2 linked regions of the Canis lupus familiaris genome follow. The protein of the gene in region 2 interacts with the protein of the main gene of each other region in a pairwise test. Links are inferred from orthologs where the notes say so. Each region holds a gene or a part of one and is shown on either strand. Other genes may lie near its edges.

Evidence for each region.
Region 1: the proteins of JUNB (region 2) and BATF3 interact in binary tests that used the Homo sapiens proteins (3 or more experiments, as listed by UniProt). The link is inferred for Canis lupus familiaris from reciprocal best matches to the Homo sapiens genes JUNB and BATF3.

What each region holds. Positions count from the first base shown.
Region 1 is NC_049228.1:10,702,589-10,709,149, reverse strand, and holds part of BATF3 (basic leucine zipper transcriptional factor ATF-like 3), read left to right. Parts: intron 1-2,382; coding exon 2,383-2,487; intron 2,488-6,561. UniProt on the Homo sapiens protein: AP-1 family transcription factor that controls the differentiation of CD8(+) thymic conventional dendritic cells in the immune system.
Region 2 is NC_049241.1:49,755,324-49,761,985, forward strand, and holds JUNB (transcription factor jun-B), read right to left. Parts: upstream 3,923-6,662; 5' UTR 3,627-3,922; coding exon 2,583-3,626; 3' UTR 2,086-2,582; downstream 1-2,085. UniProt on the Homo sapiens protein: Transcription factor involved in regulating gene activity following the primary growth factor response. Binds to the DNA sequence 5'-TGA[GC]TCA-3'.

The sequences.
Region 1 (6,561 bases), on a different chromosome or scaffold from region 2:
AAGATATGCTTAATAATTTATGACTGTCTTAACACTTTGCTTCCCGCTTTTTGTTTTGCTTAAATGTTACTGCTGGGTTATCAGGTTGTGGCCATATGGATTGGTGGTAAATCCAGTTTTTTTTTTTTTTTTTTTTTTTTTTTATTTATTCATGGGAGACAGACAGAGAGAGAGAGGCAGAGACACAGGCAGAGGGAGAAGCAGGCTCCATGCAGGGAGCCTGACGTGGGACTCGACCCTGGGTCTCCAGGATCACACCCTGGGCCGAAGGCGGTGCTAAACCACTGAGCCACCTGGGCTTCCCGTAAATCCAGTTTTGAGTGTCCACTCTCAGAGGGCAGGATGCAGGTTGTTTTCTTGTGTCCTATGACTTTTTGATTGTGAACGAAGAGGCATGATTTGGTGACAAGCACTATGGGAGACTCAAAAACTAGCAACCTCTACAGAGGTTACTAAGGGCATACTCTGTCCTGGGAGCTTTAGGATAAAAATCTTATTTTATCCTATGCTAGTCCTAAGCATTAGGCCGTTAGAATGATTGCTGCAGAGATGACTGATCAGTTGTTCAGGGCATGCATCTCCAGTCCTAAACCAGTGCCTGGCACATGGCAGGTACTCAGCTAATACTTCTTGAAAGAATGAATGACTCGCATTTACAATAAATGAGAAAGTTGAGCATTCGGAAAAATTAACCCATTTCCCCCTGGCTATACTGACAGTAAGAGAAAAAACTGGGGGCTATGTATTTCTAAAGCTAAAGTTCTGTGCTGTACATCACATTTTATCCCTATGGTGTTCTGGTTATGTTAACCAAGACTTCTTTGCCTTTAAAAAACTACATTTTAACACCTTGTGCCAGTCCCTTAAGCATTACTTCCAGACCACATCCATTTGCTGTATTACTTTTATATATGTTATTTATTTGTCTCCTTCTATAGACTTACGTTCCTCCACATACTGAAAATTCCTTACCCATCAGAACTTGGGGAGAAGATATGTGCCTCTTCTATTTGGAATACAACACCAGGGATCCCTGGGTGGCGCAGCGCTTTGGCGCCTACCTTTGGCCCAGGGCGCGATCTTGGAGACCTGGGATCAAATCCCACGTCGAGCTCCCCGTGCATGGAGCCTGCTTCTCCCTCTGCCTGTCTCTGCCTCTCTCTCTCTCTCTCTCTGTGACTATTATAAATAAATAAAAATTTAAAAAAAAGAATACAAGACCAGATAAAATAACTGAAATTACTCATTATTTCATATTATTAATATTTGCTTTCCATTAATATTAATACTTAAGTAGCTTTCCTGTATTTGTATCTTACTAACCTCTTGGTATTTATTTATTTATTTATTTATTTTTAAAGATTTTATTTATTTATTCATGAGAGAAGCAGAGATACAGGCAGAGGGAGAAGCAGGCTCCCCGCGGGAAGCCCGATGTCAGACTCGATCTCAGGACCCGGGATCACACCCTGAGCCAAAGGCAGACGTTCAACCACTGAGTCACCCAGGCATCCCGACCTCTTGCCTCTTAAACTATCTCTTTAAAACAGGATACCCCCTCCTCACCCCTTTGGTACCTTCTCACAGGATTCTGGAAAACAAATACTCTACTTCTCCATGTTTTTCTATGACTGAAATGTTTTTACCTTGGTAGGTACATTTTTTTTTTAGCCTGCCTGTTTCAGAACACTTGAAAGATTCAACTAGGCTTGGTTAAATCTCATATAAAGCTGAGAGCTTTCAAGACACCTCATCAGTTTGCTTTCTGATTCACTCTGACCCGTGAAACAAAATGTCCATCATGCATTGTTCAAATGAGGTGGTGTTTAAGATCATTGGATGTGTTGGTAGAGTTGTGTGTTTGCAGTTAGTTATAAGCGTAATATTTGCACGCGGCATCAAAAGTACCTGTTTGTGTGTGGTGGCATAAGTCCTGGCACACAGCAAGTTCCAGATAGCACATGCCTTCTGCCTTCCTTGTTCTCAGATGGACGTTGACACCGCACCTCTTCCAGGCACACACCCTGTGGGGTAGAGGTTTATGAACGTTGGTTTGGAGTCCAACAGACCTGAGTTCCACTTCCCATTTACCCACTTACAAGCTGTGATACCTGGGCAAGTTCCTTACCCTCTCTGAGTTTCTTATCCTCATCTTTTAAATGGCAGTCACACCACACATTTCTGAGGGTGCTCATGGGTATTAACACGTAAGGCCAGCCCAACACGTGGGGAGTGCTCCTGAACTGCTGTCCCTCCCATGAAGAAACAAGCGCTGGCCCTGATTGCAAATAAAATAGTGAAGCCAAGCGATGCTGAGGAAAGAGGGCAGAAGAGGGTCAAGGAAGGGGCCAGACAATGCACCTAACCAGACGTTTCCCCCAGAGTCCCGAGGATGATGATCGGAAGGTCCGAAGGAGAGAAAAAAACAGAGTTGCTGCTCAGAGAAGTCGGAAGAAGCAGACCCAGAAGGCTGACAAACTCCACGAGGTGAGCCTGTGGTTGGGGCAGAGCCACATGAGGGCCCCCCCGGAGAGGAGCCATCCTCCGCTCTCGCACTGTGGTGGCGGCCCCAAGGTCATGTCCTGGTCGCCACCAATTTGGACACTCACATCTCATTTCACTGTGTCCTTCCAGCCCAGTGTTGGGATTCTTCACTCACTGACATCTTTCTCCCTCATCCAGTGGTTGTTTCTCACTCTCAAGTTCCTTTTGTAAGTCAAAACAGAATAAAACAAAACCTCCTCTCCATCTCAATTCTTTTTCAAGCTACTGCCCCATTGATTTTCTTTCCTTCCTCCCTTTCCAACTCCTTCAAGAGATCCTGCTGTTTCCACTGGCCTCAGTGCCGTTTACTCCCCGGTCCTCTCTGCTGGCCTCTCTGCTGCCCTTCCCCACCCATGCACGTATGCATGCACCCATACCCACGAACACACACGTGCACCCACGTACACACACACCTATGCATGCAACCCACATGTACATGTACATACCCCCCACATACACGTGTGTGCACATGGCACACAGCCATGCACACATCCACATGTACACTCACATACCCACACATGCACATGTGCACAGCCATGCACATACACCCACACACGTACACGTGCAGGCACACACATGCACACACACGTACATGACCATACGTGAGTACACATGTGCGCACACACACCCCCTTCCTATGGAAGCTGCTCCTGCAGAGGTCGCTAGTGCCCTGGCACTGTCTGGTCCAGGGGCTTCTTTCTAGGCTCATCAGCCATCACATCACTTTGCTGAAACATTCGACACCACTGACCCTCCCCTTCCTGAGACGTTCTTTCAAGGTCTTCAGCTTCTAAAAGACCACATTTCTCGCTTGTCCCTTTTAACCAACACACCAAACTTCTCAGTTTCTTTTGCTACCTTCTTCCTCTGTCAGTTTTCTGCAATGTTGGTGTTGACCAGGCATTCAGACTCTGCCCTTTAGCCTTTCCACCCTGGAAGATTTGATCTATGAACCTGTTCTCTCAGCATTAGCTCCCCACATTGATTACTCCATGCAAGACCTCCATTCCGGGGCCTTCACCCCATATCTCCAGCGTCTGCTTAGATGTTGCCAAATGGGTCTGCTGCAGGCTGCTTGGATGCAGCATGGTGGTGATATGTGTTTCTTCTGAGACTCTTTCTTCTGTCTTCACACTGAGTTAATGGAGCTCGCCCCCTTTCTCATCACCCACATCAGGAACCTGGGATTTATCCTAAACTCTTCCAATTTCTTCTACCCTTATGCATAATCCCACAAAATCTCAAAGCCAGGACATGGGAACTGCTTCATATCAGGAACTGGCCTCAGAGGCGCCCAAGGATCTGTGCCAAGAATGAGCGACAGTTCTGAACTCTCATCTTTACACAGGATGGGTGCAAGTAATTGAGGACTTAAGTTTAGCACTTCCCTGCTTGCTGTCTTGGCATAGCTTGTCTCAGCTTGTTCTGGGGGTGTTGACAGCATAGCAGGCACTGAGGTGTTACAAGGGGGAACAACAATCTCTGAAAACCCTTTCCTAATAAACTGAGAACTGGTTTAGGATGCACATTGATCCACTGATAGAAATTCAACAGTGGGCATAATTCATAAACATCAGCCTCTTTCCTTGGAAGTAGGGAGACTGGGCCCTAAAAAAGAGATAAGTGATGCACTACACTTAATTTCAGTAATTCACACAAATACTGTGGTGATGGCCAGAGAAGGTCCTTCCCAGCCTGTATTGGTCCGGTAAACTTTCCCTAGAAGAGTTGGAATGTCCTTTGCTTCCTTTCTTCCTTCTCCTTGATCCTGAAGCAGTCCGGGTTTTAGCCTCATGTTACTAAAAAATCCCAGAGGGCACTTGTGGCTCAGTTAGCACTTGGCCCTGCGTTCAGACCCCGTCTGCCCTTCCCCTCAGGAAGCTTCTCATCGAAGCCAGGTGCATTAATATAAGAAAACACTAGGGGACACTCAGTTGTAAGTCCGAAGTGATTATGTGTGTAGTGGTGGCTAAATGACATAGATAACACACATGTGTTATCCATAACACACACGTGTTCCTTCCATGGAGTGAGGGCGAGTAGATTCATTCCACTAATATTTGTTAGCACCACTGTAGGCAGGGCCTTGCTGCTGGATCACAAAGAGAGGGAGTAAGCTCTCATTCCTATTATTGGAAGCATAGGAGTTTTTGAGGCAAGTATATGGTCTCCTATGAACTCTAATGAATTCTGACCAATTTGGTGGCTTAAAACAATGCAGGTTTATTATCTTACAATTTTGGAAGTCAGTTGTCTGGAATGGGTCTCATGGGGCTAAAATCAGGGTGTCAGGAGGGCTGCATTCCTTTCAGAGGCTCCGGAGAATAATCAGTTTCCTTGCCTTTTCTGGCTTCTAGAGGCTTCTGTGTTCCCTGGCGTGTGGTCCCCTTTCCATCTTCAAAGCCAGCACTGGCTAGTTAAGCCTTTGTCAAGCTGCACTACTCTGACATTGTTCCATTGTCACATCTCCTTTGACTCTTGACTTCTTCTTTCACTTTTTTTTTTAAAAAGATTTTATTTATTCATTCATGAGAGACACACAGAGAGAGGCAGAGGGAGAAGCAAGCTCCATACAGGGAGCCCTATGTGGGACTCTATCCCGGGACTCCGGGATCATGCCCTGAGCCCAAGCAGACCCCCAACCACTGGACCACCCAGCTGTCTTCTTTCACTTGTAAGGACCCTTGTGATTACATTGGGTTCATCCACATGATCCAGGATAATCTCCCCACGTTCAGATTCTTAACTTAATCACATCTGCAAGTTTTTTTGTTTGTTTGTTTTTGCCACATAAGGTAGCATATTCACAGGTTCCAGAGGTTGGATGTAGACATCTTTGGGAAGCCCTTACTCTGCCTACATAAGAAGGTAGCAGAAATACTACAGTGTCAAAAAAAGATGAGTTTCTCTCAGTATCTGTCATTGTTGGATTTGATACCCAAATGAGCCAGATGCCTGGGGAAGTTAGGGGTAGCACCACATTTACTCCTGCCTCATTCCTCTTAGAACTGTGGTAGGGGACCCTTCTGTAGGGTTCCTAGCTTCTCTTGGGGTCCATACACTGTGTCACATGACCAATTATGCCAGGTGCTCTTTTGGGAAATGGGGCTAATTGATCTGAAACCCAGTCCCTCCATGGGAGAACATTCCCTTCTCTGCCTCGATGGAGCCAGAAGAGTATATCAAGTTTACCCACCACTGACCGATCACCTTGTCAAGGCCAATCTTTTTTTTTTTTTTTTTTTTGTCAAGGCCAATCTTGAAGAAACACAGCTTCAAGGAGGCCAGGACAGTGACTCCATCCATATATAGACCCCAAAGCTGTAGTCCACACTTTTCCGGTCACTAGCTACATACTAGTGTTATTGGTCACATGGAGGTGTGGGGGCGCAGGTGGCTGGTTCAGGAAAATGGAAATGCAGCCCAGTCCTACTGTAGAAGGGGAATGTCCTCTCTGGACCCAAGGGTAGCACATGAATAATAGCTCTGCTGTTTTTTGTTTCATTTTGTTTTGTTTTAAATATTTTTTTATTTATTCATGAGAGACACAGAGAGAGGCAGAGGGAGAAGCAGTCTCCTCGCAGGGAGCCTGATGTGGGACTCGATCCCGGATCCTGGGATCACACCCTGAGTGGAAGGCAGATGCTCAACTGCTGAGCCACCCAGGCGTCCCAATAGCTCTGCTGTTAATTCCTCATCTCTTTCCAGGGAGGGCATCACAGTAATGGGGATCTATGTTCTGCAGGGTTAACGTAGGAAAAAAAGTAAATATAGTTTAAAAAAAAAAGTATTTTTTTTAAACTTTGAAAAAAAATCTACGTATTGAGGGTGGAGTGTCAGGTTTAAAAATGTGGTGAATAGTTTTACTGTGCTCCAGTGAGTGACCCTAGCATGCTGCTCTGGGTCCTTGGAGAAAAGCCCTTCAGGCCCCCTCGGGTTCCAGGCCACATCAAGGATGGGGAAAGTGAGAGCCACACACAGGTCTCAGATACCTCCTCAAAGCTGGGTTCAGGCCCG
Region 2 (6,662 bases):
TATCTCCACCACAAGGTGGGAGCATTACCTCATACTCACTGCTTCCTCTTTCTCCTTGGCCTGAGGGTGGTTTCCAAGGGGAGGGGGGTGAGGTAGGCTGTGGGTCCCTTGCAGGGAGCAAGCCCCAAGATGCCCTAGGCCTGAAACCTGGCCACACAGTGCAGCACCCACACTTTGCCATCAGCCAGCCTGGGTTCAAAGGCCATTCAAGAGCTGTGATTTTCCGTGGGTTTCTTCAACAGTAAGATGCGAATAAAGACAACCAACTCACATCACTGTGTAATACAGTATGTGATACATACTGTGAAGCAATACAGTATGTGAAGCTTGGGGTCCAGTTAATGGTTATTAGGACAGGTCCCCGGGGCTGGAAGAAGAGGGCGGGGTGCCAGCCCTAAGACCAGAACCACGAATGGGAGCTGGAGCTACATGCACCGTCCCTGTTGCAAGCTCTGCCCCACACTAGGTTGGAAGGATGGCCCACCTGGGGTGGAAGGGTGAGGGTCACTTCTGAACCAGAGTGTGTTCCCAGGAGTGCAGTTTGATGCTGTGTATCTTCAGGCAAGTGGTTTTGCCACTGAGCCCCCATTTCCTTCCACAGGACAAACCTCATTTAATCCATAGACCCATTATTAATATTGCTATCCAGCCTAACAATCCTCCAAAATCACTCATTTGGGCCTTGGAATTTTATCTACACTCCTTCCCCAAGGCCCTCCGTGGTTTCCCTGACCTCCTCTCCGCACTCTTGGTTCACTCAAATCCAGGAACACAGTTTTTGTTTTTTTTTTTTGTTTTTGTTTTTGTTTTGTTTTGCTTTTTTGCTGTTCTTTAATAGGCTGGTCTTGTTCTGGCCACAGGAACTTTGCATGTGCTGTTTGTTCCCTCTTGCCCAGAACGTTGTTTTCTCAGAGCCTGGCTTTAAAGCTGAAAACTCGCATCATTAAAGGTCCACGTTTCCAATCCATTCTCCAAAGCCCTCCCCTGCCCCATCACTACCACTTTGACCGGTTTTGTTTTGTTTTCTCTTGCTAGCACTTACCACAATCTCCGAATCCTGTCTGCTTGTTTATTGTCTGTCTGCCACGGTCCGGGCAGTGTCTCCAGGGCTAGGTTGTTGAGCATTTCGTAAATGAATTAATGAAGCGTCTGCTCTGCCCACCCCACCCCTGCGGCTTCTCAGCCTGTGTTTTTCTCTGCCGCTCTGGGGGGCTTCAAGATCCGAAGCCAGCTAGACCCCCTCCGGGCGCACCAGCCGCCCTCCCACCCGTCCCAGCTGCGGGGGAGGGCGTCCCGCGAGAGGGCGGCGGCGCCCGGCAGCCCGAGCAGCCGCCCCGGCAGGACCAGACCTGGCAGTCGCCCTGCGCCCTGCTCCCAACCTGGCACCCGGGAGGGGAAATTGGCAGGCGGGCGCCGCCCTTCCTGGCGGGGGTGGGGGGGTACCGCGGCGGCGGCGGCGCGAAGGCTGCAGCAACCCCCCGCCCGGGTCAGGTCAGACGGAGCGCGCGTGGGCGCGGCGGGGCCCCGACGCCGACCCGATGGGGCGGGCTCGGGGCTGGCTCCGGGACCCAGGAGCTTGGCCCTCCCACCGCGGACGCTCTGGACCCAGGCCTGGGGCTTTCCGGGCCCCGGCAGCCGCCTGCCTGGGAAAATCCCGGCCCCCTTCCCGGCGCCGCAGCCCTGCCCGGCAGAGCGGGGGAGGGGATTCCCGGAATCTGCCCGGAGACCGCCGGCGCGTCACTGGACAGAATCGGCCCATGTAGGGGCAGCGCTTCCGCTGCGTCAGCGGGGAAAGCCCCAGCGCGCGCAGCTGGGCGGGGCTGCGCCCGCGCACTGCGCGTCTCGCCCCAGGCCTCCTGCCCCCTGGTGATGGGCGGCTGGACCGCGTACCCGCCCTGGCCCTTCCAACCCCGGGGAGGAGGGGGCCAGAGAAGGGTCCGCCGCCCGCACTAGGGCTGCAAGATGCTTAGGTAGAGCTGGCGAGGAGGACACGGACACTGGCGCGAGTCACAAGCAGGAGTGGGGTGGGGGCAGCCCACTATTCTCCTCCCTCCTCCCGCCCGGCTTGGAAAAAAAGACAACAAATTAATAAAGAACCATTTTTTTTTTTACTTAAATAGATTCAATAAAAAGTCGGAACAACAAACACACACACACACAAACACATCTTAAAATAAACTCTTTAGGGACCGAGTGCGTGTTTCTTATCCACAGTACGATGCAGAGGGGGGAGGGCAGGGGGCGGGGGTCCCTTCCCCAGTGTCCCCGCGGGCTTGAGTACCGGGCGGCGGGGCCAGCTCCGCCGCGATCGCCCCCTCCTCCCCTCCCTGTTAAATACACAAATATATTATATTCAATATGAATCGAGTCTGTTTCCAGCAGAAAAAAAAAAAACATACAAAAAAACGCGAAAGGGGGGCTTGTAAACGTCGAAGTGGAAGGACTGGACGCAGAGCGGGCGGGCAGGAGTCCAGTGTGGTTTGCGGTGCCCCGGGGGCCGGTGCCCACCGCCTGCCCCCTCGCCCCTTGGGAGGCGTGCGCCCAGTCGTCCAGACTGGGGGAATGTCCGTATGGGGGGGCGTTCAGAAGGCGTGTCCCTTGACCCCGAGCAGCAGCTGGCAGCCGTTGCTGACGTGGGTCATGACCTTCTGTTTGAGCTGGGCCACCTGCTCCCGGAGGAGCCCAGCAGTGCTCGACAGCCCCGCGTTCTCGGCCTTGAGTGTCTTCACCTTGTCCTCCAGGCGCGCGATGCGCTCCAGCTTCCGCTTCCGGCACTTGGTGGCCGCCAGCCGGTTCCGCAGCCTCTTGCGCTCCACTTTGATGCGCTCCTGGTCTTCCATATTGATGGGGGACACCGGTGGCGTGGCGTCGCGGCTGCGCGCCTCAGGCACGGTCTGCGGTTCCTCCTTGAAGGTGGAGGCTCCTCGGCCCAGGCCCAGTTGCGCCGGGTGGCCGCCAGCGAAGGGTGGCGCGTGTGGGAGGTAGCTGATGGTGGCCGTCGGGTACGAGCTCCCAGTCCCGACGGCGGCCCCGGCGCCTCCAGAGGGCGCAGAGGCTGGGGAATAGCTGTTGAGGTTGGTGTAGACTGGAGGTGGCTCCGGGCCGGCGTAGACGCCCCCGGGCCCAGCCGGGGGCCCCGAGCTGGCGCCCAGGGACACGTTGGGGGGCGTCACGTGGTTCATCTTGTGCAGGTCGTCCAGCGCTTTGACAAAGCCGTCTGCGAAGCCCTCCTGCTCCTCGGTGACACCGCCCCCGGCGCCCCCCGCACCTCCGCCGCTGCCTCCCCCGCGGGGGTAAAAGTACTGTCCCGGGGGCGTGGGTGTCGTCGTGATCACTCCGTTGCTGTTGGGGACGATCAGGCGCTCCAGCTCCGATGAGGCAAGCTTGAGCGACGCGCCTGTGTCCGAACCCTGGCCGGAAAAGTAGCTGCTGCCACCGCTGCCCTCTGGTCCCGGGCCCCGCGCCCCGGGGGCTTTGAGACTTCGGTAGGGGTCGGCCAGGTTGAGCGCCAGGCTGGGTTTCAGGAGTTTGTAGTCGTGTAGAGAAAGGCCGCCCGGAGCCCGGCCGTATCCCGCCGCTGCGTATGAGTCGTCGTGGTAGAAGGGCTGTTCCATTTTAGTGCACATCCGGGCGGCCCAGGCGGTCTGGGGGGGTCCCTGCGGGGCCGCCCCGGGCCTCGCTGCGGCGAGCGGCGCCCTGTCCGCGACGGTGGCTGGACTGGGTATCTGGACGCGCGTTCCCAGGAGCTGGCACCGGCCGGGAGAGGCCAGCCGGCGGCGGTGCGCGGAAGCTCCGTGCGGCTTCTCGAGCCCTTCGGCCCCTGTCCGGCGCGCTCGCTTTCCTGGTGTCGCTTCCCCCTGCTCCCCGCTCCCTGCTGACTCCGGTGCTGGCCTGGCCGCGCTCAAGGTCCCGGCAGCTCAGGCTGAGCCACACGCCTTTATACGGCTATTGTCAGCTACGGAAGTGCGCTCCGATTGGCCGTCGCGCGAGCCGGGCCCCCGCGCCCCCCTCCTCCAGCGTGGGGAAGGGGAGGAGGCGGCTCGCGTCACTGTCAGGAAGCGCGTGTCCTTGTAAACAGCGGCCACGGGCTGGGTGGCTCGGCGCGGCTGCAGGGGGAGGGGCTCAGGGGACCCCGGGGTGCGCGAAGGAAGGGGTGCTGGTCCGAGATACACGGGGAGGGACTCCAGGGAAGGCACTGATTCCCCTGGATGCGAGGAACTGTTACAAAGCAAGTGTGTGTGTGTGTGTGTGTGTGTGCGTGCGTGCGCGTGTGCGTGTTGGGGCGGAGGGCGGGGGTGGTCTCCAGGGTGTACACAAAAGGCCTGAGGGACTCGGAGTATTCGAGGGGGGTTGAAGGGCTGATTATATACACAGGGAGACCCCACAAAGGTGAGACAGGAGGATCAACCAGAGTAAATGAGAGAGGGGTAAGGTAATGTGTGGGGGTCCTGAGTACAGAGGGGTTAAAGGACTTGAATTTTAATAGAGGGACTGAACCCAGGAAAAGTGAGGGGGGGATCAAAAGGGCAAAAGGAGGGGATGGAGGATCCATTATGCAAAAAATGAGTAGGGGTCCTGAAGTCCATGGGAGAGACTGAGGGCCTCCATAAGGGGAATCTAGTTATGTAGAAAGTGAGGGCTCCGGGGTATACCGAGTCTGGGAAATTATGGGGGGGGGGACCCTGTCAGAGGTTGGGAGTCACTGGGGTCATCTGCAAAGCCCTGATGAAGGAGAGTTAAGAGTCCGGACACACTTTCAGAGCCGAGATGATAATGACACAGGGTCTCCAGCTGAGACATGAGAGGAGGGGTTTTTGAGGATCCTGGGGATTTGGACTGCTGGATCTTCCATGACTGGCCACCCCTTCTTGTGGGTGCTTTCTAGGCGCCAGTATACTTTGCTCCCATCTCCAAGCCCTCCCCCCGTGACCCGGGGCTTGACCGACACCGTGCCGACTCAGGGTGCTGAACCTACCCCGACGGCCCGGGCGCGGTCGCCCAACCCCACTCCTTCCTTAGAAACAGGCTGGGGAAAGAGCGCCGCGGCAGGAAGTGTGGCAACAGCCCCGGGGGAAGGAGCCCGGCCCTGCCTCCGTCACTCGGATCCTACGGGACCGTGCGCCCCGCCCTGGGTCCGGTTGGGTTCTGCGCCTCAGAAGAGGAACGTGGACGTGCGACCCTGGCGGAGGCCAGGGTGCGCAGAACACGCCCAGCCGCATAGGCCTCTAGTCTCCCTCTCCCAGCAATGGTTCAGCCCGCAGCACCCGCAGGCGACCGCGGAGGCAGGCGGTCCGGGGACGATTCCATTAGCCCGACGGAGGGGGACGCGCCCGGGAGCGGGCTTGGTCGCCATGGCAACAGGCCGGAGTCCGCGGGCAGAACTGGGGGCGGGGCGGCCCCGGGAGGCTCTCCCCCGCGCCCATATAAGGACACAGGAAGGGGTGGGGCCAGCGCCGTCCCGGGGCCCGGAGCCAGGACCCGGGAGCCCGGGTATCTGCCAGGTCCCAGGGCGCGCCCGGGCCCCCGGACGGCTAGTCCCGACCAGCCCCGCCGCCGCCCCCGAGGCCCCCACGGCCGCCTCGCTGGGCCCCACCCAGCTGCTCTGGGGCTGCGTCCTGCCGGGCCCGGCCCGGCCTGGCAGGTCCCCGCCTGCCCGCGGGCCTGGGTCGGACTTCGCCCCCGGCCCGATTGGGCGCGGAGGGGCGGGCCAATGCCTCGAGGCGCCCCCGGCGCCTGGGCGGGCTGGCACGACTGCCTCCTTCCTCGGGTGGGGTACCTTTCCACCAGGAGGTCTGGGCCTCTCCTCCCACATCCCGAGGGGCTAGGATGCCCCTTCCCTCCCTCACACCAGTGGGCAAAGGGCCTTATTCCCGTTTTAATCTGGGGGTCCTTCAACCATCCAGAATACCTAAAAGAGGGGTGGACAGTCTCTTCCTCTCCAGGGTATCTCCTTCATCCCGTCAGAGGAGACCAGAAAATCCAAGGGGAGAGAATCTAAGGGAACTCTGTGCCCCTTTCCCAGCACTATACTGAGGTTTAGATAGCGAGGCTCCTAGTTAGACTTAAGGCGGGACTTCCAAGCAGAATGTGAGCCACTAGAACTGGTGGAAGCTCAGTGTCTCTCTCTCTCTCTCAGAGAGAGATGCCTCTGTCTTCTGGGAGGATGAAAGTTTCTTTAGCGTAGAGAGAGGCTGAGAGACAGGGGCTAGCCTGCCTTTGTGGGACAGGCAGAGAGCACACTTAAGTGCCAGGAAGAGAAGGAAAATGAAAGAGGCAAAAAAGAAACTGAGCCATGTGGGGGCTGGGGAAGTCCAGCAGAGCAGTGAAGTTAGGGAGGAAGGTCCCATGAGAAGCTGGGGGTATCCCCATCTTTGGAGGGTCCTTGTGACCCCTGGGTGCTCCCTCCCCTCCTCCTCTTGCTTGAACTGCTCCCCTAACCCCACCCCAGGCTCAAGGGAGATTCCAGCGGCTGGCCGCTGAGTCTGGCGGGCGAGCTGCCAGGCCTGTGTCTCCCGCCCATGCTAATAACTGCAGCTGACATCTGGCCGGGCCCTGCGGGGGCGCAGCGGGCAGCGTTGGGGGGCTGGGCAGGTCTAGCCTGAGGGCAGCATCTTGGGAAGCCAACCTGCAGGTCCCACAGGCCAGGAGGGCACAGTGAATCA